Linked DNA regions of Anolis sagrei. The protein of the gene in region 3 interacts with the protein of the main gene of each other region in a pairwise test. Links are inferred from orthologs where the notes say so. Each region holds a gene or a part of one and is shown on either strand. Other genes may lie near its edges.

Region 1 (7,846 bases), on a different chromosome or scaffold from region 3:
CTCGTAGACAGAGAGAATCAAACAATCCTAGAGCCATTAAGTCCTAAGATGGTTGGACAGATTAAAGGATGGAGGGATAGATGGATGGAGGGATAGATGGAGAGATGGCTGGATGCATGGATGGAGAGAGCCATCCATGCATCTACAGTTGGAATCACAGAATCCTACAGTTGGAAAAGAGCCCAAGGGCCATCCAGTCCAACCTCGTAGATAGAGAGAATCAAACAATCCTAGAGCCATTAAGTCCTAAGATGGTTGGACAGATTAAAGGATGGAGGGATAGATGGAGAGATGGCTGGATGCATGGATGGAGAGAGCCATCCATGCATCTACAGTTGGAATCACAGAATCCTACAGTTGGAAAAGAGCCCAAGGGCCATCCAGTCCAACCCTGATAGAAAACTAGATAGACAGACAGACAGAAAGAATCATACAATCATCGAGTTGGAACACAGCTCAAGAGTCATCAAGTCCTAAGATGGACAGATGGATGGACAGATAAAATCACAAAATCCTACAGTTGGAAAAGAGCCCAAGGGCTACCCAGTCCAACCCTGATAGATAGATAAATAGATAGATAGACAGACAGAATCATACAATCCTAGAGTTGGAACACAGCTCAAGAGTCATCAAGTCCTAAAATGGATGGTTAGACAGATGGATGGATAGATGGAAGGATGGATGGAGAGATAGATGGATGGAAGGACGGACAGAAAGATGGACTAATAATATCACAGAATCCTAGAGTTGGAAAAGAGCTCAAGGTCCATCCGTTCCTAAAATAAACAAATGGATGGATGGTTATGTACGATGGATAAAATCATACAATCCTAGAGTTGGAAGAGAGGCCAAGTGCCATCCATTACTATCCATTATTAAGTATGACTATTATTATCAGTGTTACAATTATTATATTCCTAATGCTATTAGTGCTGCTACTGTTATTATTTCTATATTTATTATTGATTACATTTATATTCCGTCTTCTCACCCCGAAGGGGACTCACCATATTATCGACAAGCATTCCATGCCGGAACATAAAATAACTATAAATATACACAAACACTAAAAACAGTTACATCTACTTTAAATCAGATGTTTAAAACCATCTCAAAACAGCAGCACTAATAGCAATAATAACAATAATAATAATAACACCAATAATAATAATAATAATAATAATACGACAGCAGTGTTAACTTCAACAATAAATATAAGAATGATAGCAATAACAGTACTGGGTTGTTGTAGGTTGTTTTGGGCTGTATGGCCATGTTCTAGAGGCATTCTCTCCTGACGTTTCGCCTGCATCTATGGCAAGCATCCTCAGAGGTAGTGAGGTCTGTTGGAACTAGGAAAAAGGGGTTTATATATCTGTGGAATGACCAGGGTGAGACAAAGGACTCTTGTCTGCTGGAGCTTTGTCTCCTTTGTCTCACCCTGATCATTCCACAGATATATAAACCGTAGAGATGTTCAATGTATTGTCGAAGGCTTTCATGGCTGGAATCACTAGGTTCTTGTGGGTTTTTTCGGGCTATAGAGCCATGTTCTGGAGGCAATTTTTCTCCTGACGTTTCGCCTGCATCTATGGCAAGCATCCTCAGAGGTAGTCAGGCATTCTCACTACCTCTGAGGATGCTTGCCATAGATGCAGGCGAAACGTCAGGAGAAATGCCTTTAGAACATGGCCCTATAGCTCGAAAAAACCCACAAGAACCTAGATATATAAACCCTTTTTCCTAGTTCCTACAGACCTCACTACCTCTGAGGATGCTTGCCATAGATGCAGGCGAAACGTCAGGAGAGAATGCCTCTAGAACATGGCCATATAGCCCGAAAAAAACCCACAAGAACCTAGATATATAAACTCTTTTTCCTAGTTCCAACAGACCACACTACCTCTGAGGATGCTTGCCATAGATGCAGGCGAAACGTCAGGAGAGAATGCCTCTAGAACATGGCTCTATAGCCTGAAAAAACCCACAAGAACCTAGATATATAAACCCTTTTTCCTATTTCCAACAGACCTCACTACCTCTGAGGATGCTTGCCATAGATGCAGGCGAAACGTCAGGAGAGAATGCCTCTAGAACATGGCTCTATAGCCTGAAAAAACCCACAATAACCTAGATATATAAACTCTTTTTCCTAGTTCCAACAGACCTCACTACCTCTGAGGATGCTTGCCATAGATGCAGGCGAAACGTCAGGAGAGAATGCCTCTAGAACATGGCTCTATAGCCCGAAAAAACCCACAATAACCTAGATATATAAACTCTTTTTCCTAGTTCCAACAGACCTCACTACCTCTGAGGATGCTTGCCATAGATGCAGGCGAAACGTCAGGAGAAAATGCCTCTAGAACATGGCCATACAGCCCGAAAAAACCTACAACAACCCAGTGATTCCGGCCATGAAAGCCTTCGACAATACAATAGCAGTACTGATAGCAATAAAAAATAATAATACTGGTAATAATAATAATAGGAATAATATAGCAGCATTAATACCAACAATATAGGAATTATAACCATAACAGTATTAATAGCAGTTAGATTAATCAGAATCATAACTGCTAATAATAACAAAGGGAATAATCTGGCAGCAGAATTCATACTAACAATAAAGGTAGGAATAATAACAACAGAAGTATTAATAGCAGTCATCATGATAATAGAAATAATAGAAGTAATAAGAACCATCACAGTGCTATTAATAGGAGCATAACAATCGTGCAAATCATAAACAATAACAAATGGCTAATAATGAATATGCGTTGACTCCTCCCCCCTTCCCATAGAGTTCAATGGGAGAGGCCTCAAGTTCGTGACACGCAACTTCGCCCGTGAACGTGTGAAGGGGCCATTCTTGCGTGTATCACAGAAGTTTAGGGTGCCCTCAAGCGAGGCAAAGGGGGTTCCAAGGCCCCAAGTGAGAAAAAGGGGGCTCACCATGGTTCTCTCCAGCGTCGAATGAGGAGGATGAGGGGAACCGGAAGTGGCTGGAGGAATAGAAACAGCGCCTCAAAAGGTCGAAGCAGGAATGGCGGTTTTTTTCCCAATCTAAATAGAACACAGCGTGGAAGCGGAGTAGCTTCAGCGCATGCGCTGAAGGGAAACAGGCAGGAGGGACACAGCGCTCCCAGCGGCCGCGGCGGGAACGACAGGGCTTTTACTAAACAGACCCTAGCGTGAAGGCTCTTAATGAGAGTTTCATCTATGCTGATGATCGTGCCATTACCGCTCAAGCAAGGAGCTTTGAGATGGTTGAACAGAAGCTCTCCGAAGCTCTAGGTGCTCTTACTGCCTATTACAGGGACAACCAACTGATCCCTAATCCATATAAAACACAGACATGCGCCTTTCACCTTAAGAACAGACAAGCATCCCGAGCTCTGAGGATCACCTGGGAAGGAATCCCACTGGAGCATTGCAACACACCCAAATACCTGGGAGTCACTTTGGACCGTGCTCTGACCTACAAGAAGCACTGCCTGAACATCAAGCAAAAAGTGGGCGCTAGAAACAACATCATACGAAAGCTGACTGGCACAACCTGGGGATCACAACCAGACACAGTGAAGACATCAGCCCAGGCCCGTAGCCAGGATTTCATTTGGGGGGGGTGTGTGAATTTTTTTCAGGGGGGGTTCGGGGGGGGCTGAGTTTCAGGGGGGGCTGAGTCTGAGTGAAAGAGGGTCTACCCTAGCAAACCTTTTGTATCATTACCCCAATACCTCCTCCATGCATATGGGATATATTGAGTATGGTGATCAGATCATGATATGAATAAACATAACAGTTTAAATAATGCACCAGTAAGGCCTTTTCGCGAACCACCATGAGAATTTCGGGGGGGGTTGAAGCCCCCCGAGCCCCCCCCCCCCCCCCCCCCGGCTACATGCCTGCATCTGCCCTTGCGCTATGCTAATCTGCTGCTGAGTACGCATGCCCAGTGTGGAACACATCTCACCACACTAAAACGGTAGATGTGGTTCTTAATGAGACATGCCGCATTATCACGGGGTGTCTGCGCCCCACACCACTGGAGAAATTACACTGCTTAGCCGGTATTGCACCACCTGACATCTGCTGGGAAGTGGCAGCCAATAGTGAAAGGACCAAGGCAGTGAAATCTCCAGCTCATCCCCTGTTTGGGTATCAGCCAGCACGTCAACGACTTAAATCTAGACATAGTTTTCTTAGATCTACAGAGACACTCGCTGGAACACCCCAGCAAGCGAGAGTCCAAAAGTGGCAGGCCCAAACTAAGCACCTCAATTCATGGGTGATACCAGATGAGAGACTCCCCCCTGGGCACATAGAGGACTGGGCGACTTGGAAGGCATTGAACAGACTGCGCTCTGGCACCACGAGATGCAGAGCCAAAGTGGAATCCTCGGCATGCGGGTGCGGAGAAGAGCAAACCACTGACCACCTGCTGCAATGCAACCTGAGCCCTGCCACATGCACCATGGAGGACCTTCTTGCGGCAACCCCAGAGGCACTCCAAGTGGCCAGATACTGGTCAAAGGACATCTAATCAACTACCAAGCTTGCAAAATCTGTGTGTTTTTTTCCTTTTTCTTTTTAATTTGTGTGTTTGTTTTGCTCTGTTAGAATTGTAATACAATGGTTGCTGATGACACGATAAATAAATAGCGTGAAGGCGAACCAGCGCAGAAGGGAAACTGGCAGGAAAGTCACAGCGCTCCCAGCGGCTGAAATGGGAGCTGCAGGGCTTTTCTCAATCTACCCCACGGTATAGGCGAACAAGCACCGGCGTGGTGAAACTGGCGCAGAAGGGAAACTGGCAGGAAAGTCACAGCGCTCCCAGCGGCCGTGGTGGGAACAGCAGGGCTTTTTCCAATCTAAACAGACCCCAGCGTGGAGGCGAACTAGCAGCAGCGCATGCGCAGATGTGAAACTGGCTGGAGGGACACAGCACCCCAAGTGGCCACAGCTGGGTATATAATACTATTACAAGTAATATAATAATAACTAATATGATAGAAGTTAGAAGATAATATATATATGGAGCCCCCGGTGGCGCAGTGGGTTAAAGCACTGAGCTGCTGAGCTTGTTGATCGAAAGGTCGCAGGTTTGATTCCGGGGAGCGGCGTGAGCTTCCGCTGTCAGTCCTAGCTTCTGCCAACCTAGCAGTTCGAAAACATGCAAATGTGAGTAGATCAATAGGTACCGCTCCGGCGGGAAGGTAACGGCACTCCATACAGTCAATGCCGGCCACATGACCTTGGAGGTGTCTATGGACAACGCTGGCTCTTCGGCTTAGAAATGGAGATGAGCACCACACCCCAGAGTCAGACATGACTGGACTACCTTTACTTTAATATGATAGAAGATTTTTATTTATCGTGTCATCAGCAACCATCCCATTGTATTACATTTCTAACAGAACAAAACAAACAAACAGATTAAAAAAACCCACAGATTTTGCAAACTTGGTAGTTGATTAAATGTCCTTTGACCAGTATCTGGCCACATGGAGTGCCTCTGGAGTTGCCGCAAGAAGGTCCTCCATTGTGCAAGTAGCAAGGCTCAGATTGCATTGCAGCAGGTGGTCTGTGGTTTGCTCTTCTCCACACTCGCATGCTGTGGATTCAACTTTGTAGCCCCATTTCTGAAGGTTGGCTCTGCATCTCGGGGTGCCAGAGCTCAGTCTGTTCAGCGCCTTCCAAGTCGCCCAGTCCTCTATGTGCCCAGGAGGGAGTCTCTCATCTGGTATCACCCACGGATTGAGGTGCTGGGTTTGGGCCTGCCACTTTTGGACTCTCGCTTGCTGAGATGTTCCAGCGAGTGTAGTAGATCTAAGAAAACTATGTCTTGATTTAAGTCGTTGACGTGCTGGCTGATACCCAAACAGGGGACGAGCTGGAGATGTCTCTGCCTTGGTCCTTTTACTATTGGCTGCTACTTCCCAGCAGATGTCAGGTGGTGCAATACCAGCTAAGCAGTGTCATTTCTCCAGTGGTGTAGAGCGCAGACACCCCGTGATAATGCGGCATGTCTCATTAAGAGCCACATCCACTGTTTTAGTGTGTTTTCTGTTGGTCATGGGGGTTCTGTGTGGGAAGTTTGGTTCAATTCTGTTGTTGGTGGGGTTCAAAATGCTCTTTCATTGAAGGTGAACTATAAATCCCAGCAACTACAACTCCCAAATGTCAAGGTCTATTTTCCCCAAAGGCCATCTGTGTTCATATTTGGGCATTTGGAGTATTTGTACCAAGTTTGGTCCAAATCCATCATTGTTTGAGTCCATAGTGGTCTCTGGATGGAGGTAAACTACAACTCCAAAACTCAAGGTCAATGCCCACCAAACCCTTCTAGTGTTTTCTGTTGCTCATGGGAGTCCTGTGTGTCACCTTTGGTTCAGTCCCATCATTGGTGGAGCTCAGAATGCTCTTTGACTGTAGGTGAACTATAAATCCCAACAAGTACAACTCCCAAATGACAAAATCAAAAAAAAATTGAGTGAAGGACATACATTGGGTTGTTAGGTGTATGCTGTCCACAGTTGGTGTCAATTCACCCACTGGTTTTTGAGTTCTGTTAATCCCACAAACGAACATTACATTTTTTTATATACATATACATATACATATACACACACACACACCTGTGGAATAATGTCCAGGGTGGGAGAAAGAACCCTTGTCTTTCTGAAGTAAGTGTGAATGTTGCAATTAGTAAGCTTGAATATTATTGAGTAGCCATGAAGTTTGCAAAGTCAATCAGTGAAGGCATTTGCATAGCGGTAGCTTGGCTGTTATGCCTGGAGGCATCCTCTGTTTAGGAGGTGTTCACTGGCACTTGGTTATTTGTTGTCTGGAGTTCTCCTGCTTCTGAATGGTGTTCCTTATTTACTTGTCTTGATTCTGGTGTTTTTCTGGTGTTTTTTGGGGTTTTTTGGTAGCCAGATTTTGTTTCTTTTCATGGTGATTTTGGCGAACCTTTTAAAAGGTGAGTTCTATCTCTATGATTAACTTTCCGAATGGCTATATTTAGAATCTTGGAGGGATAACCTCTATCTTTGAATTGCTTCTTAAAGGTACAAATTTCTCAATCCAGATCTTTGGGGGAGCTGGAATTGTGTTTTAGTCTCATGAGTTGAGAATAAGGAAGGTTTGTTTTTAGCCTATGATGATGGAAACTGGCGTAAGTGCATGACTGAATTCTTATCAGTGGCTTTCCAGTAATTCCTTACCCTTAAGTTGTTTGTGTCTTGTACACTGTGACATCAAGGAAAGTAATCTCTTGTTTATTATTATGACAAGTAAATGTAATTTGTTTTCATATTCCTTTTGTAAGTGAATTGGATTTCTGGATATTTAAAACCATCAAGACTAAGGAGCATTTGTTCAACATTGAGTTCCAATTGTTAATGAAAGTGGTTATCACCTTGGAACATCCCCAGGGTTTTGTCCACACTTAATCCCCTAGGAATCATATTTCTCTTCATGTAATCCAATAAAGTGAATGCATGTCAATCTAGCCTAATATTTTTTTCTTGATTTTCTCATATTCACTACATGTGCTTTGGGTCTATGACGATGGGCAGCCCATTAACCCCTTCATTAGCTAATCTTTTTGTAGCCAATTTGGAACGAATGTGGATACTAAATTAAGCCAAAAATGTCTTCTTACCAGAGATCATCTACTATGGGAGATTTATAATTTTTTTTAGTATATAGAACACAAGACACAGCTCCACAGTTTAGTCGATGGATGAACACAATACATGGCCACAGTGGTCCACGCTCTTGTTACATCCCAAATAGATTACTGCAACGCACTCTACGTGGGGTTGCCTTTTAAGACTGT
Region 2 (7,438 bases), on a different chromosome or scaffold from region 3:
GTGATCTTTTAAAGCCATGGCTTTTGGCCAGCCTGCTCATATTGAGCTTGTGGACAGAGGTGGATGTCTAACAATGCTCACAGACTGTGGTGCAAACTTCTGCTCTCCAGGGTTGTATCCCAGCCAGGGAAAGCTGTACACCAAGCTGGTGCGTCCGCCCTCAGCCATGAGCACACTACAAATAGAATCATCGAGTTGGAAGAGACTTCATGGGTCATCCAGTCCCTTGCCAAGAAGCAGGACAATCGCATTCAAAGCCCCCCCCCCCCCCCAATAGATAGCCATCCAGCCTCTGTTTAAAAGCCCCCAAAGAAGGAGCCTCCACCAGACTTCGGGGCAAAGAGTTCCACTGCTGAACAGCTCTCACAGTCAGGAAGATCTTCCTAATGTTCAGGTGGAATCTGCTTTCCTGTCATTTGAAGCCATTGTTCTGTGTCCCAGTCTCCAGGGCAGCAGAAGACAAGCTTTCTCTCTCCACCCTATGACCTCCTCTCACATATTATCTCTCATCATGTCTCCTCTCAGTCTTCTCTTCTGCAGGCTAAATATGCCCAGCTCTTTAAGTCGCTCCTCATAGGGCTTGTTCTCCAGACCCTTGATCAATTTAGTCGCCCTCCTCTGGACACATTCCAGCTTGTTAATATCTCTCATCAATTGTGATGCCCAGAATTGGACACAGTATTCCAGGTGTAGTAAACCATTATTTTACTGACACAAAAATATAGTATGACACAACAAACGAGATATATATGCTGGATTTCGAGATCTCAGTTGGCATTTGGAAACAATAAACATTGACAAAATCATGATCTGTCAACTGCAAAAGGCCACCTTACTTGGATCTGTGCATATCATTTGAAAATATATCACACAGTCCGAAATGCTTGGGAAGTGTTCAGCTTGTTATTTTGTGATACGAAAGTAAGTCATTATTATTATTATTACTAGCTGTCCCCTGCCACGCGTTGCCGTGGCCCAGTTTGATGATCTGGAAAATAAAGTAATGAGAAAGTGTTGGATTCTAATATATGTAATTTCTATATGCTTGTGAGTAAACAGTATTTCTTGTTGTTTCTTTGTCAGTGTTGATGTGAAGATTGTCTGGTTTGCCTACTCTGGAACATGCAACATATCATTGTCCTTCTTTAGGGGTCCCTTTCAAATCTATGATACTATATCTGTGTGTGTGTGTGTGTGTGAATCATATATATCTATGTATATGTATGGCTGGATGGCTGTCAGGAGTGCTTTGATTATGTCTTCTTGCCCTGGTGAAGGGAGTTGGACTGGATGGCCTTAAGTATTTTCTGTTGGTCATGGAGGTTCTGTGTGGGAAGTTTGCCACAATTCGGTCGTTGGTGGGGTTCAGAATGCTCTTTGATTGTAGGTGAACTATAAATCCCAGTAACTACAACTCCCAAATATCAAGGTCTATTTCCCCCAAACTTCATCTGTGTTCATATTTGGACATATAGAACATTCATGCCCAGTTTGGTCCAGACCCGTCATTGTTTGAGTCCAAAGTGTTCTCTGGATGTAGGTGAACTACAACTCTCAAACTCAAGGTCAATGCCCACCAAAACTTTCTAGTGTTTTCTGTTGGTCTTGGAAGTCCTGTGTGCCAAGTTTGGTTCAATTCCATCGTTAGTGGAGTTCAGAATGCCCTTTGATTGTAGGTGAACTATAAATCCCAGCAAATACAACTCCCAAATGACAAAATCATAAGTTTTTGAGTGATGGTCACTCCTTGTATTGTGAGATGTTTTGTTGCAAAATTAGGTGTGATTTCGTTCATTGTTTTTTGTTTTGTTTTTAAGGTACTCATTATGCACAGAGCATTTATATATATATAGATTATTATTTGAAACACAACAAGATGAGTCCACAGCAGACACTCTGTTGGCTGTTGCATTGGATCACACGTCGGACACTTCCCAAGTGTCTAGGACTGTGTGATGTATTGGTGAATAATGTGTGCAGATCCCACTAAGGTGGCCTTTTGCAGCTGGCAGCTGGTAATTTTGTCAGTGCCTATTGTGCTTAAGTGCAAGCCAAGGTCTTTAGGCAGTGCACCCAGTGTGCTGATCACCACTGGGACCACCTTTGCTGGCTTGTGCCAGAGTCATCGTCATCGTTGTCATCATCATCATCATCATCAGATGACTGGAGGCCCACACACACACACACACAAGAAAACCCTATGGGCACTTTAATAAGCTTGGAAGGGGCAAGCTTATTTTCTGCTGCTGTTGAAACTAGGGAAGGGAGGAATTGATTCACACTGCAGGGAAAGAGATTCTCCCTAAACGTTGGGAAGGACTTCCGCATGGAGGTGTTTGACAGTGGAATGCACTGCCTTTGAACCTGTCTTCGGCTGTTTTGAAAAGCAGGTTGTGTGGGGCGTGCTTTGGTGGTGTCTTCCTGCCTGGCAGAATGGGGGTGGACCGGCCTTTCTCTTGCGGTCTCTTCCAAGTTGAGGAGTCTATGAAAGACTTGCCCTAAATCGACAGGCGAGGGAAAGCCACAGACAGAGAAAAGCAACGAGGAAGGCGTGCCGAGGCAGGCGGATTTTGAAGCGCTTGGGAAACTTCTGTCCCGCAGACGGAGGGGGAACTCTAGGTTTGTTTGTGTGTTTTCGTGTCCAGAGGAAGCTTAAGGCACAGGGGTGCGGGATCTTCAAGGAGGAGCTCCTTGGCGATGCTGGGAACGAGGGCAGAGCCATTTCGCCCCCATGGCTAGGCGTGGAAAAGCTCCACGGGCGGAGAGACTCTCCTGCTTCCCCGTAGGGCACTCCAGGCGCCTGTTTCTTCCCAAACGGGAGTGGAAAGCCCACGCAGACCTGCGACCCCCTTTCTCATTCCCCTAGTGAATACCTTGCTGAATACTTCCAGGTCCTCGTCGTCGTCCAAGTCCAGGAGCAGCGGGGCAGCCGAGTCCCCCGCCACGTCGCCGCCGCCCTCGGGCTCCATCGCCTTCCCCTCGCTGGATCTCCCTCTTGGAGGAGGAGGAGGAGGAGGAGGGCGATCCCCGGTTGGAGCCCCTCCTCTCGCCTTGGCTATTGGTCGCCTCCTCGCTTCGCCTTCCCTTTCCTGCGCGGCTGGGAAGGAAAGAAGCGAGGGAAGGAGGGGAAAGAGCCAGGAATGGCGGGGGAGGGAGGGAGGGAAGGAAGAGGGGATGGAGTCCGCGAAACCGCCCCCAATTCCCACTTTGGAGGGTCGCTTTGGAAAGCGGGGGCGGGGGGAGAGATCCAGACTTGACGAGTTGGTCCCAGCCTACTCTTCTCTAGTTTAGGAGGAGCAATCCTGCTTAATGCTTTGCAATCTTACTTTCCTAGCTTACTTTAAAACGCCTCTCTTTCTTCTTTCCAGCTGCCTCATTGGCTTTCTTCAGACTGAAATGAAAGTAGAACTCATCCCTCTGTATCAGTGGTTTCCAACCTTTTTTTTTGACCAGGAACCACTTTGATCAGGAACTACTTTGATCAGGGACCAGAGAGCACATTGACCAGGGACCACTTTGACCAGGGACCACTTTGACCTTTGACCAGGGACCACTTAGACCAGGGACCACTTTGACCAGGAACCACTTTGAAGCAGGGGCCATTTTGACCAGGGATCACTTTGACCAAAGACCACTCTGACCAGGGACCACTTTGACCAGGAGCCATTTTAACCAGGAACCACTTTGACCAGGAACCATTGTAACGAGGGACCACTATGACCAGGGACCACTACTTGGACCAGGGACCACTTTGACCAAGGACCATTTTGACCAGGGATCACTTTGACCAAGGACCACTCTGATCAGGGACCACTTTGACCAGGAACCATTTTAACCAGGGACCACTATGACCAGGGACCACTACTTGGACCAGGGACCACTATGACCAGGGACCACTACTTGGACCAGGGACCACTTTGACCAGGGACCATTTTGACCAGGGATTACTTTGGCCAGGGACCGCCCTCCAACATTAGTACCAAAAGACTGAATCAGTTTTTGGTCAACTTTGTGGGATTATTTGAGGCACTAATTCAGAAAATTGTATTGGATAGACCACATCAGCTCTAATTTCTGATACAGAATATATGCTATCCAGTAGTTGCCATCTGCTCACCCACAGAAAACCATATTTAATAATCTAGATTTGTTGTGGTCCATCCAATGCAATTTTCTGAATCAGCACCCAAAATAACCCCACAAACCTTCCCAATAAACAACCCAAGGAAATGTCCTGAAATTATTCCATGCAAAATCCAACTTTTCTGTAAGGTAGATATTAGAAGGTAAAGGTAAAAGTTTCCCCATGACATTAAGTCCAGTCATATCCAACTCTGGGGGTTGGTGCTCACTTCAATTCTAAGCTGAAGAGCTGGCATTGTCCGTAGATGCCTCCAAGGTCATGTGGCCAGCATGACTGCATGGAGCACTGTTACCTTCCCGCCAGAGCGGTACCTATTGATCTACTCACATTTGCATGTTTTCTAGGTTGGCAGAAACCAGGGCTAACAGTGGGAGCTCACACCGCTCCCCGGATTCGAACCTGCGACCTTTCGATAAGCAAGTTCAGCAGCTCAGCAGTTTAACCCACTGCACCACCGGAGGCTCCAATGATTAGATTTTTTATTCTGCTACATGAAAGTGACACTTTTTTTTTGCTCAGTTTCTTCTATGTACTAAATTGGAGATTAGTCTTCCTGACAGAAGCACGGCTTTACCCAACCAAAGTGCATGGCTGACACAGGAATGTGTGTATCTCCATTTTTCCAAGTGATTAGCTGGGAACTAAAGGATGCAACATTGCATTTATAGAGTGCCAATGGCAACATTTTTAAAACCCTTGCATAGCTCAGGCCTCAGTTGATGCTATCTGCAGTATTTCTGAATAAATGAAGCACTCACCTCTAGGATTTAAGGATGGCTGACACACATTTTCAAGCTTTTTATTTTTTTGGAATGCCTCACAATCAGTGAAACCACTTCTCCAGCTGCCAATGAAGGATCTATGTACTATCTCTTGATCATTGTTTTGAGGGTAGCATTTGTCCCCAAATATAAATCCACCACCAGGTATGATAAGCACAGTGTGAGGATCTTCTTGGTGGCTGAAACTCTCTTTGTAGGAAGGATAGAGCGTGTCTTTCTGCTTCCTCTTTTTCTGCCATTAGATTTTTTTAAAATCCCAGTAGTGTCTTGTGACTGTGTCCTTATATACTTTCAAGTCATCTGTCAACTCATGGTGACTCTATGGATTTTCTTAGGCAAGGGATACCCAGTGGTAGTTTTGCTACTACCTTCCTCTGAAATATAGCCAGCAACATAAAATCCATAGAATAACACATAATTGAAAGCCTTTCCTGCCAATAGTATTCATTGGCAGGAAAGGCATTCAATTATCTGTTATTCTATGGATTTTATTATTTTACTCTATCTATCTAGACACAATAAAACTGAAAATATGCATGTGTGTATGTGACTGGGGTGTCCCCTTACACAGACAAGCTCCCACCTCCACAAACAGCTATTGCTGTCACTATACAGGAGATACCAATAGGCCTTCCTCCAATAACATTACAGGTTACAACGAGTACCATGAAAATGTGCAAGAGCCCTGCCAATGTCCTTCACCAAAACCACACTTCCCACCACCCAAGTAAAAGCTTTCATTCAGGGACTAATTCACCCTAGTTTTGATGTGTTTCCTCCACCACAGGCATCCTAGTGTTTCTTACTCTCACCAATGGTGTGAAATTTGCTTAACCCCACCCACTGCCTCTCCCTTAACCCTTTCCTATTCTTTTCTATGGCACACAGAAAACAGAGGAATCGATCAGCAACTGAACATACTAGAGAGGTTTGGGGAGAATGCACTATGACTTATAGGAATTGTAGGTACTGGGATGCATAGTTCACCTGCAATCTAAGAACTGCAGTCTGAACCCTACCAACGATAGAACTGGAACAAACTTGGCACACAGAACCCCCATGATCAATAAAAAACACTGGAGGTCTTTGGAGGGAGTTCTGGGAGTTGTAGTTCACTTACATCCAGAGTGCACTATAAACTCAAACACATATAGATCTGAGCCAAACTTGGCATGCATACCTGATATGCCCAAATTTGAATACTGGTGAGTTTTGAGGGGAACTGGCCTGGACTGTTTAGAGTTGTAGGTACTGGGGTTTATAGTTCACCTGCAATCTATGAGCACTCTGAACTCCACCAAAATGGAATTGGATTAAACTTGGCGCATAGAGCCCCAATGACCAGCAAACATACTGGAGGTCTTGGGGGAAAATTCACCTTGATTTGGGGGAGTTGAAGTTCACCTACATCCAGAGAGCACTGTGAACTCAAACACTGGTGGATCTGGACCAACCTTGGCACACATACCTCATATGCCGAAATTTGATTACTGGAGGGGTTTAGGGGCGGGGGGAACTAACCTTCCTTTCTGGAAGTAGTAGTTCACCCACAACCAGAGAAACTGTGACCTCCGCCAATGACTAATCTGGACCAAACTTGGCCAGACCTACTGGGAGGGTTTAAGGGGACTGACTCACCATAGTGGGAGTTGTAGTTTACCCTGCAGTGAGAGAACACACTGAACCCCCAGCTGACATCAGATCTGGAACAAACTTGGCACGCAGATTCAACATGGCCAACTGTTCATACAGGCAGGGTTAGGGTGTGATTGACCTTGGATCTGGGAGTTGTAGTTCACCCTAATCCAGAGAGCACTGAACCCAGCCAATGTTGGATCTCGACCAAATTTGGCACACAGACCCAACATGGCTAACTATGAATACTGTTGGAGTTTGGGAAGGATAGACCCATGATTTTGGGAATTGTAGTTCACCCACTTATGAATTTTCTAATGGGAGCATTCATAACAAACAAAAGCGGCCTTACTGGTACATTATTTAAACTGTTATGTTTATTCATATCATGATCTGATCACCATGCTCAATATATCCCATATGCATGGGAGTATTGGGGTAATGATACAAAAGGTTTGCTAGGGTAGACCCTCTTTCACTCAGACTCAGCCCCCCGAATCAAACTCACTCTCCCCCCCCCCCCCCAATCAAAATCCTGGCTACGGGCCTGCAAAGTGATATTACCTAAAACCCCAAAACAAACAATACTTTTTTGAATAACTGGAGCATTGCCAGGTCCCCAAGCTAGTATATAATCTCTTCAATATTAAGTGAGTCAGAAGTCAGTTGGGTTTAAAACAGCTGAGAAAGAAAGGGAAATGGAAAATTGTGCTACGTGCCCCCTAAAGTATTTTGGGAGGGTTTGCACATTCTTTTGGACTCAATGAGGGGGGACCCCCCCCCCTCGCTCTATATTCCTAGGCTACTTTTCTGTGGCTTTAAACAAGGATCTTTATCTGCCCTAGCCTTGCAAAACATTTGTTCAGATAGCTCTATC
Region 3 (7,203 bases):
AATGATGTACCCAACCTCGAACCTCGAGGAGAAGTGAATAACACTATTAATAATAACAATAACAATAATAACGGGGCACTGAATCGTTTATTTATTTATTTACAACATTTATATTCTGCCCTTCTCACCCCGAAGGGAACTCAGGGCGGAGCACAACATACAAACGGCAAACATTCAATACTGGGACATTAATTCATTATAGGCATACATAAACATTAAAAACATTTGTCTCAATATTAAAATACACTGTTTAAAACCGTCTTGATCATCTGTGTCTAATCTAATTGGCCTGGTAAGGTTTCCTGTCCCTGCTTTATTGCACTGTCCTGAAAACTGGGTCCACAACCAATTTTTACTATCCTTCTGAAGGACAGGAAGGAGGTGGGCGAGCTGATCTCACCAGAAAAACCTCATTATTCAGTTGCTTTTCAGAACCAGTTTTATTTTTCTGAAAGGTTTTAAAGCATATTGAAAGGAAAGTATGGCATTCAATATTTCACCAAATAACCAAGAGAAAAAGCCATTTCCCTCATTCTGTGTGGTTAGAATCTACACAGCAAGGGTGTGTCTATACCATGTCACAAATACTTTTTTAAAAACTTTAAGAAGCATTCAAAAGGTTATTTCCTTTCATTCACAATGAGACAGAGTATACTACAAAGAAAGAAGGTAGACACATGCAGATTCTATAGCTAACTTGGTACAAAAAGGGAAATTACATTTCCTCAGTATTCAAACACATATAAACATTCATTCATCGCCATGCTCACATTCAGAGATCTTTACCAATGTTTGTACTATTTGTACCTGGGCCTTCTCCCTCTCATTTATACTTTTTTTATTCACTTGTTCTATATCCCTGAACAGCTTCTCAGTGTCTTCTTGTACATCAGATGAGGCTTTGCTGCTCATCAGTTTTTCAATGAGCTCTGCAATTAAAAGCAACAACAAAAGCCAAAGTAAGTTATACAGTAGCTTTCAAGGCAATGTATCATTTTCAAACAAACCAGCCTGTTTACATTTTCTAACTTTCAAAACAAACAGGAAACAAACAAGAAACCAAGCACATTGGAGGAAACAACAAAAGAAACCTTTAAAAGGAAACACGTTGCATGAAGACTTGGACATTCTAGGGTTAAGTACCGTACCTAGAAAATCTGAAAAATTTAAGGTATCCCAACTTTTCATCATTTAATATTAAAACATATTAATGATCAATGCTATACTATGAGCCTTTTAAAAAAATTGTAGAACATGGCTTTGAGCAATGGTTCACAACAATTTTTGTGGCCCTGTCCCTCCTAAGCCTCTCTAAAACCCTGATACCCTCCTTTTGACATATAATTATTATTATTCCAAAAGCAAGCTCCTATTTATTCAGATGGAGGAACACTCAAAGGCCATGAATATATTGGTCTAAACAAGCTTCCAAAGGACATGAACACAATGCAAGAGGAAACCAAAAGGACAAAAAGATAGCTGAAGTACTAAGGAAGAAATTGTTAAAATAATAACAATATAAATAATATCAATAGTGATAACGACAATAGTATTCACACGAAGAAGAAGATAAAGACAAGGAGGAAGAGGAAGAACAAATCTTGGGGAATTTGCCATTTATCAATGAGGGAATAATGACATTTTCATGTGGATCCTATGCTTTATAAGTGAGGAGGAGGAGGAGGAGGAGGAGGAGGAGGAGGAGGAGGAGGAGAAGGAGAAGGAGAAGGAGAAGGAGAAGAAGAGGAAGAAGAAGAAGAGGAAGAAGAAGAAGAAGAAGAAGAAGAAGAAGAAGAAGACGACGACAATGGCGACAACGACTCTGGCACAAGCCAGTAAAGGTGATCCCAGTGGTGATTGGCACACTGGGTGCAGTGCCTAAAGACCTTGGCCTGCATTTAAAAACAATTGGCACTGACAAAATTACCATCTGTCAGCTGCAAAAGGTCACCCTACTCGGATCTGCGCGCATTATTTGGCAATACATCACACAGTCTTAGACACTTGGGAAGTGTTGTACATGTGATCAAATACAAAAGCCAGCATAGTGATCTCGTTTGCTGTGTACCATTCTTGTTATGCATCTAATAATAATAATAATAATAATTTATTTCTTACCCGCTTCTCCTTGTGGTTCGATGTAATAACAAACCCTATAAAACTTAGAACTCTACATACAAATTAAGTGTTTTAATATGTGTATTTTATAGAATGATTAAGATGTTTATATGTTTTTAGCTATGTTGTAATGCACCTCGAGCCATGAAGAAAGGCGAATAATAATAATAATAATAATAATAATAGTATTAAATAAACTTTGATCACAACTTTGTGATAATTAATGCTACCATTCTCCAACTTTACTCAAAATTATGTTCCCGGAGCTTTTTCCATCTTTTTTGTGACACGTTTGGTTTTCTTTTGTCATAAAGAGACACAGACAGTGAATCTGGGTCCAAAGCTTCAGCTTCTGAGCTTTCTGACATGACGGTTGTTGTCATTTGTTGATGGTGAATGATACGTCATGTTCTTCCTATCATCATTCTCTATTCAAATATAACACAGATGTTTTAAGGAGCCAGCAAGAGATCAGGAAGAATAAGTGGGAATGGAAAATGTGAGATTTTTAGACTCGAACCTGATGAAGAATGAGGGTTTTTTTTGTTCCTGAAACACTTTGTGCTGGATAAAAGTTACCACAAGTCATGAACTACAATACTACAATGAGTGTGCGACAACTGCATCAAATTCAGTGTAACCGAAGTGTTCTGTTTCCTTGCAAAGTGCATTCGGTGAGAAGAGATAATAATATATCCTGTCACCCAATATTCATTTTTTTGCGGCTGATCCTCTTTGCTTTCTTTGTTTCATACAAAAATAGACTCTCTAATTAAAGTAATAATTATACTTTGGAGTTTCCCGACCCCCCTCTCACAGATTTCTTGCCACATTCATATGCAGAACAGAAAGTATTTGATATTTTGCACCTTTGATTTCCATGATCTGTTTTCCTCTTCAGGATTCGATTCGCAAAAGGAACACCTTTGAAATGAAAAAGAAATAACATTAGCATGTTTATCCACTTGTTTTGCCTACTGTTCTTGATTGTACCCTTTGCCATTTCATATCTGTATTTTAACGACCTTATGTTTTTTATTTTAACTATGTAACTTTGGCTCATGAGAAGAGGCCAGTAACAAAGCAAATATATTATCATTATTATTATTATTATTATTATTATTATTATTATTATTATTATCTTTCCAAAGACATCTCTAAAGTAATTTTAATTAATTTGTTTTTCTCTGTTAATGTTGAATTAGGCAGCTGTTTTGGCAAGACTCATAAAAGGGTTGAAGGCAGAAGATAAATATTTCAACAACATAGGTTTCTTCACATATGAAGCTCCATAGATATAGATATAATAATACAGTAATAATGATGATGATTATTATCATCATAATCATCATCTCTCTACTAGATACAATAATAATAATAATGAATTTATTGCTGCCTTTACCTACTTGATATAGATATAATGACGACGACGACGACGATGAATTTGTTACCCGCCTCTCCCTACTAGATATAGATAAAATAATAATAAGAAGAATGCATTTATTACCCACCTCTTCCTTCTAGATATATAGCTATAACAACAATAATAATGAATTTATTCCCTGCCTCTCCCTGCTAGATATATAAATATAATAATATTAATAATAGTATTAATAAAAAAGCTACCTGCCTCTTCCTAATAGGTACAGATATAATAATAATAATGCATTTGTTACCTACCTCTCCCTGCTAGATATAGATAATATAATTATAATAACAATAATAAATTTATTAACTGTCTCTTCCTGCTAGTTATAGATCTAGATATAATAATAATAAATTTGTTACCTGCCTCTCTCTGTTAGATATATAGATATTATAATTGTGACTTTATTGCTTGCCTCTTCCTGCTATAGATATAATAATAATAATAATAATAATAATGAATGTGTTATCTGCCTCTCCCTCCAAGATATATAGAAATAATAGTAAACAATAATAGTAATAAATTTGTTATCTGCCTCTCCCAGCTAAATATTGATATAATAATAATAAAAATAAGAATAAATGAATGTATTACTTGCTTCTCCCAGCTAGATATATAGATATTATAATAATACATTTATTATCCAACTCTCCCTGCTATAGATATAATAATAATGCATTTGTTATCTACCTCTCTTTGCTAGATAATAATAATAATGAATGTATTACCCGCCTCCCTGTTAGAGAGATATATATATATATATACACACACATATGTGTGAATATATATAAATATATATATATATGTATATATTCAATGACCATACAGAGACACAAAACAATGCAGCCTTCAATAGCAAATAGTCGCTATGATAATTATTTTGAAGACAAAGCAAATGCATGCATTTTGAAGAAGAAATTATCATTATTTGAGTGGAGTTGCCAATCCCATCTTGCTACAATTTTATGTCAATTGGATCAAATGCTTGTTTTTGGTTTCTTTTGCCATTTTGTCACATTTCTGTATGTTTTGAAGTGCAATAGACATTGTTTCAGAAACAAATGAATCAATTGTTTCATTGGGGGAGTGGGAGACGCTAATGATTGTTATATTGATGTTTAACTGTTGATGATGCTATTGTTTTAACTGTCCCATAATTGTTTTATGATGTTTTGCATTGAGTTTTGCTGTTGTTAACCGCTTTGAGTTGCCTGAGGGCTGAGAAAAGCAGTATATAAATGAAGTAAATAAGTAAATAAATAGTGTTCTAAACAATGATGGGTGGACATAAAAGTGTGTGTGTGTGTGTATATATATATATATGTATGTATGTATGTATAATGTCGACTCTGTATCTGTGTGAATAACAATGCAGAAATCCTCCATTTTATAATGGTTGTTGTGTTGTTGTTCATTCGTTCAGTCGTCTCCGACTCTTCGTGACCTCATGGACCAGCCTACGCCAGAGCTCCCTGTCGGCCGTTACCACCCCCAGCTCCCTCAAGGTCAGTCCAGTCACTTCAAGGATGCCATCCATCCATCTTGCCCTTGGTCGGCCCCTCTTCCTTTTGCCTTCCACTTTCCCCAGCATAATTGTCTTCTCTAGGCTTTCCTGTCTCCTCATGATGTGGCCAAAGTACTTCAACTTTGTCTCTAGTATCTTTCCCTCCAGTGAGCAGTTGGGCTTTATTTCCTGGAGGATGGACTGGTTGGATCTTCTCGCAGTCCAAGGCACTCTCAGCACTTTCCTCCAACACCACAGCTCAAAAGCATCGATCTTCCTTCGCTCAGCCTTCCCTAAGGTCCAGCTCTCACATCCGTAGGTTACTACAGGGAATACCAAGGCTTTGACTAGGCAATGGATCTTTGTTGCCAGTCTGATGTCTCTACTCTTTACTATTTTATCGAGACTGGACATTGCTCTCCTCCCAAGAAGGAAGCGTCTTCTGATTTCCTGGCCACAGTCTGCATCTGCAGTAATCTTTGCACCTAGAAATACAAAGTCTGTCACGGCCTCCACGGTTTCTCCCTCTATTTTCCAGTTGTCAATCATTCTTGTTGCCATAATCTTGGTTTTTTTGACGTTTAGCTGCAACCCGGCTTTTGCGCTTTCTTCTTTCACCTTGATTAGAAGGCTCCTCAGCTCCTCCTCGCTTTCGGCCATCAGAGTGGTGTCATCTGCATATCTGAGGTTGTTAATGTTTCTTCCAGCAATTTTCACCCCAGCTTTGCATTCATCAAGCCCCGCATATCGCATGATGTGTTCTGCATACAAGTTAAAAAGGTTGGGTGAGAGTATGCAGCCTTGCCGTACGCCTTTCCTAATCTTGAACCAGTCTGTTGTTCCGTGGTCAGTTCTGACTGTTGCGACTTGGTCCTTGTACAGATTCCTCAGGAGAGAGACAAGGTGGCTTGGTATGCCCATCCCACCAAGAACTTGCCACAATTTATTATGATCCACACAGTCAAAGGCTTTAGAATAGTCAATGAAGCAGAAGTAGATGTTTTTCTGAAACTCCCTGCCTTTCTCCATTATCCAGCGGATATTGGCAATCTGGTCTCTCGTTCCTCTGCCTTTTCTAAACCCAGCTTGAACATCTGGCAACTCTCTCTCCATGTATTGCTGGAGTCTTCCTTGCAGGATCTTGAGCATTACCTTACTGGCATGAGAAATAAGGGCCACTGTACGGAAGTTTGAGCAGTCTTTCGCATTTTCCTTTTTTGGTATGGGGATATAAGTGTATTTTTTCCAGTCTGATGGCCATTCTTGTGTTTTCCATATTTGCTGGCAAATGGTTGTTGTAGCTCTTGCATTTATGTCAATTGGGTTAACTCAGTCAGGGCTTTGAGGCATTTCCTGACTGAAATTCTGTTAACATTTGAGGTTTATTTTTTATTCCATTTACACTATGTATTTCTCTATCAAGGATATTTTTAAACTTCCCATTGAACCCTTTTGTATTAGTATTTGGTTTACTAGAGCGAATGAGAGTTGTGTATTTCGTGGTTGTGAAGGCCAAAAAGGGGATTTTCAGCAGATGGTGGGGAAATAACCTCCTTTTTAACACAATCCTCTGTGTGTGTTGTGTTGTAAATACATATGTTAAAATTTAAACCACTTTCTGACTGAAGCGCTCCTGTACAGGATTACCTCAGATCAGGCTGAGGTAAAACAACATGGAGGCATCTCCTTGAAAGAAGCTGTTTAATAAGAATCCCGCCTAAACGTCGCCCCGCCCACTTTATCGCGCGGGCCAATCAGAGAGAAAACACACCTCCCTCCTACTCTCCCTTCCCCCGCCCCCTCGCAAGTGAGGCGAAACGCCCCCTTGGGTGTGACGTCACCGAAGGTGGGCGCTTGCTTTGAGCGACAGCGGCGAGAGCCAATGGGTTCCTCCGTGTTCTTTGCGACGGCGGGTGGAGGGCCAGTGACGCCATCACCGGCGGCCCAAGATGTCGAGCATCCTCAGCACGACTCTCAGCGGCCTCAACAGCGACTCGTACTGCGAGATCAGCTGCTACAGAGACCAGCAGTTCAAGGTGGGCGAAGGGGGCTCTTGTTTGCTTCCTTGATGGGTAGTGGTGGGTTTTCCGGACTGTATGGCTATGTTCCAGAAGCATTCTCTCCTGACGTTTCGCCCACATCTATGGCAGGCATC
Region 4 (7,387 bases), on a different chromosome or scaffold from region 3:
GTAAGTGCTAAGACTCATGATTTGTATTTGGTAATAATATAACCTAGACAATGCCCACTTTCTAAATGAATTAAAAAAGGAAAAGGGGGGAAATGGAAAAACCTAGTAGTATTTACAAGACTTTTATTTTAGCATGACTGTTCATGGATATCAATCAACTCTTCAGATGTAAAACTGAAAAGATGTGAGATATCTACAAAAGCTACGGTAATATTAAAATAAAAACCAGTTCACCTTAAAGGTGCTGTTAATTTTTCTATTCCCCTCCCTGTCTACATGAATAGCTGAGATTCTGAGCTGTACACACATTTTATTTAATTATTTAAAATTTAAAATGTTATAAATAAATGAATTTTGTGTTTAGACTTCAGTTCCATATCTAAGATATCTCATTAGGTACACACAGGTGTTCCAAAATAATCTGAAATCCGAGACACTTCTGGTTTTGAGGGATAAGTTCAAAATTGTCCACCTGGGTGGCTGAGATAGTGATACTTGTGCTTTCGAACATAAATGTACATACATTTCAATGTACATAAATTTGGTTTCAGCACAAAATATTTTAAACACTGTGCATAAAATTATCTTCAGGCTATGTGGGTATAATGTCTAAAAAAATTCAGTGTTTATTTAGACTTGAGTCCTATTTCCAAAATTTCTCATTACATATACATATGTATACAGGGATTCCAAAATAATCCAAATCCCAGGACATTTGCTTGTCCCAAGCATTTCGGATAAGGAATACTCAAGATATATTAACAGAGAGAACAACTTGCCTCAGGGGAGTGTGCTTACTCCATCAATGTTTAACATTTACACTAATCATCAGCGACTGCAGAAGGGACAGAGAATTTCATCTATGCTGACGATCATGCCACTGCTCAAGCAGGGCACTTTGAAATGGTTGAACAGCTCTTCAAAGCTTTAGGTGCTCTTACTGCTTATTACAGGGAAAACCATCTGATTCCTAATTCATCCAAAATGCAGACATGTACTTTTCATCTTAAGAACAGACAAGCATCTCGAGCTCTGAGAACTGTCTGAAAAGGAATCCCATTGGAGCACTGCAGCATACAAAAATACCAGGGAGTCATTCTGGACTGTGTTCTGACTTATAAGAAGCACTGCCAGACTATCAAGCAAAAAGTGGGTGCTAGAAATAATATCATACGAAATCTGGCACAACTTGAGGATCACAATTAGATACAGTGAAGACATCTGCTCTTGCGCTTTGCTACTCTGCTGCTGAATACGCATGCCCAGTGTGGAATACATCTCACCAAGTTAAAATAGTGGAGGTGGCTCTTAATGAGACATGCCACATTATCACAGGAAGTTTATGCCCAATACCGCTGGATAAATTATACCGCTGGATAAATTATACTGCACCACTGCACCACTTGATATCCGTTGGGAAGCAGCAGCCATCAATGAAAGGACCAAGGCCCATTCTCTGCTTGGATATTAGCCAGCATGCCAACGAATTAAATAAAGAAATATTTATTTATTTATTTATGAAATTTCTATCCTGCCTTTCTCGAACCTGAAGGTGACTCAAAACAGCTTACAACTAGGCAGCTAATTGATGCCTAACAATCGTTTTCTAAGATCTATAGAGATACTCTCTCGGTGTGCTTTGAATGCAATTTTTTCTGCTTCTTGGCAGGGAGATGGACTGGATGGCCCATGAGGTCTCTTCCAACTCTGATTCTATAACACTTCAGCATGTGAGAGTCCAAAAGTGGCAGGTTAAAACTGAGAACTTCAATCAGTGGCTGGAATTGAGTAAGAAACTCCCTCCTGAGCACACAGAAGACTGGGTGACTTGGAAGGCACTGAACGGATCCTGCTCTGGCACCATGAGATGCAGAGCCAACCTTAGGAAATGGGGCTAAGTACTGTTTCCTGGAGGTGGGGGAAGGAGGTGAGGGGTGTAAAATCATTAGACACAAGGGAGAGGTAAAGATGGGATTGATAAGATCACTATGAAACAATATGTGATATGTATTCATTATGTATTTCAATATTTAAAAATGTTGGTGGATTGTGATGTTATTCTACCTGTTTCGGCAATAAAAAAAAGACATGGGGGAAAAAGAAATGGGGCTATGAAGTGGAGTCCACAACATGCAAGGATGGAGAAGAAATCACCTACTACAATGCAGTCTGAGTGCTGCCAAATGCACACTGGAGGATCCCTTAACAGAGACACCAGAGGCACTCCAAGTGGCCAGGGAAATTTTGTATAATGCCAAGCTTTTGTGTTTATTTTAAATTCTGTGTTTAACTATGTTGCGGTTTTTTAAAACTTTGTTTGTGTTTTTTTTTATATACATTATAACTGTGTTTTCAATTCACTTCTGACAAGATAAACAATAAATACACAGAGACTCCAATAGAGCTGACTTAATGGTTACTCTGGAAAACACTCGCTCCAGGCTCAGCTTTCCCTTTTGCATAAGAGAAGGGCGGGGGGAGAGGAACTAGGATTAAGCGCCGCCCACACCACGTCAATCAACACGCATGGCGGACAGTGGGCGGAGCCCGCTCACGTACTCTGCACCTGCAGGTCCATCTCGCGCATCTCGGTGAACCTGTCGCGGAGATCCATGGGAAGTTGTTCAATCACTGCGGGGAGGGAGGGGAGAAAGAGCGAGTCAGTCAAGGCAGGGAAGAATAGAGGGGGCGGAGCGAGGGGCGGAGCCTACGCTCCCTCCGCGCTCTCTCTCTCTCGCCCCTCCCTTCTTCGGGCCTAGCGCCCCCCTCCCTCCCTCGCTTCCAACGACTCACTTTCGAGGTAGTCCTCCAAGTACAGCATGGTGGCGGCGGCGGCGGAGAGGCCCGTGGCTTAAGAGGGTCTCGGTTGTTTCAGCGGCGAGCGAAGAGGGGAGTTTTGGGTGGGGTGAAAGGGAAAAAAAAACGCCAACCACCGCCTCGTCCCTTCCAATATGGCGCCGGCACCGCCAACGACACCAGCGGCTCGACTCAGCGAAAACAACATTGGCGGATGACGCTCCGGCTTCGGCCGCCACGCGATTGGCTCCTGGCGCCTCTGACGTAGGCCGGGCGGCTCGCGCCTCTCCCGTTGCTCTCTGGGAAACGTAGTTTCGGCAGAGTCCTGCATCCCGCTAAAGAAGAAAGAAGGAGGAAACTCGCCTTTTGGATTCGAGTTACAAGGGAAAGTTGTTCGTGTGTGAGCTGAGCCGAGGAAACTTCTCAAAATAATACCGTGCATGCTCATTTAGAAGTACTGTGTGACTCTCTGAACTCCTGTGAGGTTGTACTGAGGTAAACCAAGGCAGCTGCAGGTTTCAAAACTTAAGGAGCTCTTAGGCCCCTTCTTCACTGCCAGGTAATTCACGTTAGCAAAACAAAAAATCCACATTATTTATTTATTTATTTGCGACATTTATATGCCGCCCTTCTCACCCTGAAGGGAACTCAAAGCGGCTTACAAGGTATATATACATGCAATATATCATACTAGCTGTCCCCAGCCACGCGTTGCTGTGGCCCAGTCTGGTGATCTGGAAAATAAAGTAATGAGAAAGTTGGTTTCTAATATATGTAATTTCGTTATGCTTGTGGGTAAACAGTGTTGATGTGGAGAGTGTCTGATTTGCCTACTCTGGAACATGCAACATATAATTGTCCTTCTTTAAGGATCCCTTTCGAATCTATTATACTATATCTGTGTGAGAGAGAGTCATATATCTATTATTTATTTATTTACATTGTTTCTATCCCGCCTATATCAGCCCAGAGGCGACTCAGGGCGGTATACACAGTCGGCACACTTTGATGCCATAAATACATACATTAATAAAGCAAAAACATTAAAGTGCATTTAAACATAAAGGCAGTGCAAAATAAAAATTTTAAAAGAACTATGTCCTATCTATGGCTGGATGGGTCTTTGTCAGGAGGGCTTTGATTACGTTTTCTTGCCCTGGTGAAAGGAGTTGGACTGGATGGCCTTAAGTATTTTCTGTTGGTCGTGGGGGTTCTGTGTGGGAGGTTTGTCCCAATTCTGTCGTTAGTGGGGTTCAGAATGCTCTTTGATTGTAGGTGAACTATAAATCCCAGTAACTACAACTCCCAAAGGTCAAGGTCTATTTCCCTCAAACTCCATCTGTGTTTATATTTGGGCATATTGCGTATTCGTGCCAAGTTTGGTCCAGATCCATCACAGTTTGAGTCCACAGTGCTCTCTAGATGTAGGTGAACTACAACTCTCAAACTCTTCTGGTGTTTTCTGTTGGTCAGGGGAGTCCTGTGTGCCAAGTTTGGTTCAATTTCATCGTTAGTGGAGTTCAGAATGCTCTATGATTATAGGTGAACTATAAATCCCAGCAACTACAACTCTCAAATGACAAAATCATAATGTTTTGAGTGATGGTCACTCCTTGTGTTGTAAGACATTTTGTTGCCAAATTTGGTGTGATTTTGTTCATTAGTTCTTTTGTTTTTAAGGTACTCATTATGCACAGAGCATATATATTGTTGTTGTTCATTCGTTCATTCATTTCCGACTCCTCGTGACCTCATGGACCAGCCCACGCCAGAGCTCCCTGTTGGCCATCACCACCCCCAGCTCCTTCAAAGTCAAGCCAGTCACTTCAAGGATACCATCCATCCATCTTGCCCTTGGTTGGCCCCTCTTCCTTTTTCCTTCCATTTTCCCAACATAATTGTCTTCTCTAAGCTTTCCTGTCTTCTCATTATGTGGCCAAAGTACTTCATCTTTGCCTCTAATATCTTTCCCTCCAATGAGCAGTCAGGCTTTATTTCCTGAAGTATGGACTGGTTGGATCTTCTGGTGGTCCAAGACACTCTCAGAACTTTCCTCCAACATCACAGTTCAAAAGCATCTATCTTCCTTCGCTCAGCCTTCCCTAAAGTCCAGCTCTCACATCCGTAGGTGACTATGGGGAATGCCATTGCTTTAACTATGTGGATCTTTGTTGCCAGTGTGATGTCTCTACTCTTCATTATTTTATTGAGATTGGTCATTGCGCTCCTCCCAAGAAGTAAGCATCTCCTGATTTCCTGGCTGCAGTCTGCATCTGCAGTCAGCTTTGCACCTAGAAATACAAAGTCTGTCACGGCCTCCACGTTTTCTCCCTCTATTTCTCAGTTATCAATCATTCTTGTTGCTGCAATCTTGGTTTTTTTTAATGTTTAGCCGCAACCCAGCTTTTGCGCTTTCTTTCACCTTGGTTAGAAGGCTCCTCAGCTCCTCCTCGCAGTACAATATCAGTATTAAATATTACTATATTGTACTATACCATTATATTGTAATATCATTTGTAATATTACATGTCATATAAATATATAATTATAATATCATATTATTATCATATATTGCATTGCATTACATTATAATATAAATATTATATGTATATACAATATATTATATTACATTATATTACATTATATTATAAGCATAGTACAGGAGACAAGGTGGAGCTGGCCCCTGGCCCCCTCTCTCTGGCCCAGAGCAGCAGTTGGTGTTGGGAGGAGGGGTTCCCAACTGATGACATATGCAGGAGACAAGATGGAACTGTCCCCTGGTCCCCTCTCTCTTCATTCTGGCCCAGAGCAGCAGTTGATGCTTTGAGCTGGATTATCGTAGGCCCCTTCCACACAACTGTATAAAATCCACATTGAACTGGATTATGTGGCAGTGTAAACTCAGATAACCCAGGGCATATATTGTGGATTATCTGCAATATCTGCTTTGAACTGGGTTATCTGAGTCCACACTCTGATAATGTGGGATTTTCTGTCTTGATATCCTGGGATAAAGGGCTGTGTGGAAAAGCCCACAGACTTTTGCAAGAAGAAATACAGAAGAAGGAGTAGAAGTGGAAAAACATGGGGAATTTACAAGTGGAAAGTCTCACAAAACACTCAAGTATATTTACCTTCAAGTTGTCTGTCGACTTACGACCACATCATGAATTTCATGGGGTTTTTTCTTAAGCAAGGAATACTCACACCCACAAGGAGATTCAGACCCCTTCTACATTGCCATATAATCCAGATTATTACAGCACTTAATCCACAATATCTGCTTTGAACTGGGTATCAGAATCCACACTGTTCAATTGGGATTTTATACAGCTGTATGGAAGGGACCTCACAGGTGCTTTTGCCAGTTCCTTCCTGAGAAATATAGCCCAAGGGACCTGGTATATGTTAGCAGTCTAAAGGGAGGTATAGCTGTACATACAATACCCCACTTTTTGATGTGTAGGTTATATATCTGTGGAATAAAAAGCCGGAATGAACCAAAAAGGGATGAGCGAGTGCAGACGCATTTGTTTACTGTAATTCTGAACAAGTTTGTGAGAGGCCAAGCAGCAAAGAGGTTGGACCAGGAAAGGAGTTGGCTGGAAGCCTCAGCAGGACACACTACTTTTGCAAGCATTCTTTTCCCTCTTGCACTTTGGTGGCCACTGGAGTTTAGCCATTAGCTGGACTTTGGCTTGTTCCACTCCTTGCATCCTGAAGCCGCTGCAGTGCAATGCCACACACTTCCCAAATGTTTCTGTGGTGCCGCTGGCTTCTTGATGCTCCATGGCCAACCATTTGGCATTTCCTGAAGTGCTCAGAGCTTCATTTCCCCCCAACAACTAAAGGATCCATGCCTCTTCTACGCATTTGCAATCAGCACTTGCAAGGCTTTCTAAACAAGCTGAAGCGTTTTCTGCAGCCTGCTGCAAACACTATACATTGATGCTAACAGATTTGTCTAAATGGTATTCAGGAACGTTTTCCGGTTGCCATTTTTTGTGACCTCAACATTGAACTCAAGGGTTCTCATTTGGGGTTGGGACCCACAGTTTAAAAAGCAGTGTTCTCACAAACAGTTCAATGCAACTATGGAGGTTGCTTTGAACTATTTGTATGTATAAGCATCAGCTGTTTGCATGAGTTACTTACAAAATAAGCTAAAAGAGGGAGAAAGGTGTTTAAGCGAGACTTGCTTACAACAGATCAAGTGCTGTTTGATACTATTTCCCTCTATGCCATTTTTGCTCATTCAATCAGTGCCTATGAGGTGGGTAGTATTCCTTCACTCTCTATTCAGCCTGTGCTGCTTTTGACATCATGGCCAGTGAGTCTCTTACAGTATTAGAATACATCATGGCAGCTAAGGGCAGTGATAAAGCTAAAAGATCCCATAGAGTTCTCAATTTGCAAGAAAAGCTAGACCTAATCAAACTTGGTGAGGGAAGCATGTCCATGAGTGACATGGGCCGCAAACTAGGCGTACCTCGCTCCACAGTTAATACAATTGTTAAGAATAAAGCCAGGGTGATAGATAAAATAGGAAAGCTACACCGGTGAATACTAAAGTTATTAGAAAAGGGGGTGG

The links.
Region 1: the proteins of TEX11 (region 3) and ZNF414 interact in binary tests that used the Homo sapiens proteins (3 or more experiments, as listed by UniProt). The two-hybrid records come from large-scale screens. The link is inferred for Anolis sagrei from reciprocal best matches to the Homo sapiens genes TEX11 and ZNF414.
Region 2: the proteins of TEX11 (region 3) and SNX7 interact in binary tests that used the Homo sapiens proteins (3 or more experiments, as listed by UniProt). The two-hybrid records come from large-scale screens. The link is inferred for Anolis sagrei from reciprocal best matches to the Homo sapiens genes TEX11 and SNX7.
Region 4: the proteins of TEX11 (region 3) and ING3 interact in a two-hybrid assay, tested with the Homo sapiens proteins (2 studies listed by BioGRID). The two-hybrid records come from large-scale screens. The link is inferred for Anolis sagrei from reciprocal best matches to the Homo sapiens genes TEX11 and ING3.

Annotation. Positions count from the first base shown.
Region 1 is NC_090034.1:58,245,179-58,253,024, forward strand, and holds the start of ZNF414 (zinc finger protein 414), read right to left. Parts: upstream 3,016-7,846; 5' UTR 2,959-3,015; coding exon 2,956-2,958; intron 1-2,955. UniProt on the Homo sapiens protein: May be involved in transcriptional regulation.
Region 2 is NC_090024.1:149,071,810-149,079,247, reverse strand, and holds the start of SNX7 (sorting nexin-7), read right to left. Parts: upstream 3,024-7,438; 5' UTR 2,970-3,023; coding exon 2,874-2,969; intron 1-2,873. UniProt on the Homo sapiens protein: Involved in the regulation of endocytosis and in several stages of intracellular trafficking. Together with SNX4, involved in autophagosome assembly by regulating trafficking and recycling of phospholipid scramblase ATG9A.
Region 3 is NC_090030.1:21,732,847-21,740,049, forward strand, and holds the start of TEX11 (testis-expressed protein 11), read right to left. Parts: upstream 3,001-7,203; coding exon 2,988-3,000; intron 930-2,987; coding exon 808-929; intron 1-807. Other genes in the region: nuclear cap-binding protein subunit 2, read left to right, coding at 6,998-7,084. UniProt on the Homo sapiens protein: Regulator of crossing-over during meiosis. Involved in initiation and/or maintenance of chromosome synapsis and formation of crossovers.
Region 4 is NC_090025.1:128,895,962-128,903,348, forward strand, and holds the start of ING3 (inhibitor of growth protein 3), read right to left. Parts: upstream 3,014-7,387; 5' UTR 2,822-3,013; coding exon 2,794-2,821; intron 2,632-2,793; coding exon 2,560-2,631; intron 1-2,559. UniProt on the Homo sapiens protein: Component of the NuA4 histone acetyltransferase (HAT) complex which is involved in transcriptional activation of select genes principally by acetylation of nucleosomal histones H4 and H2A.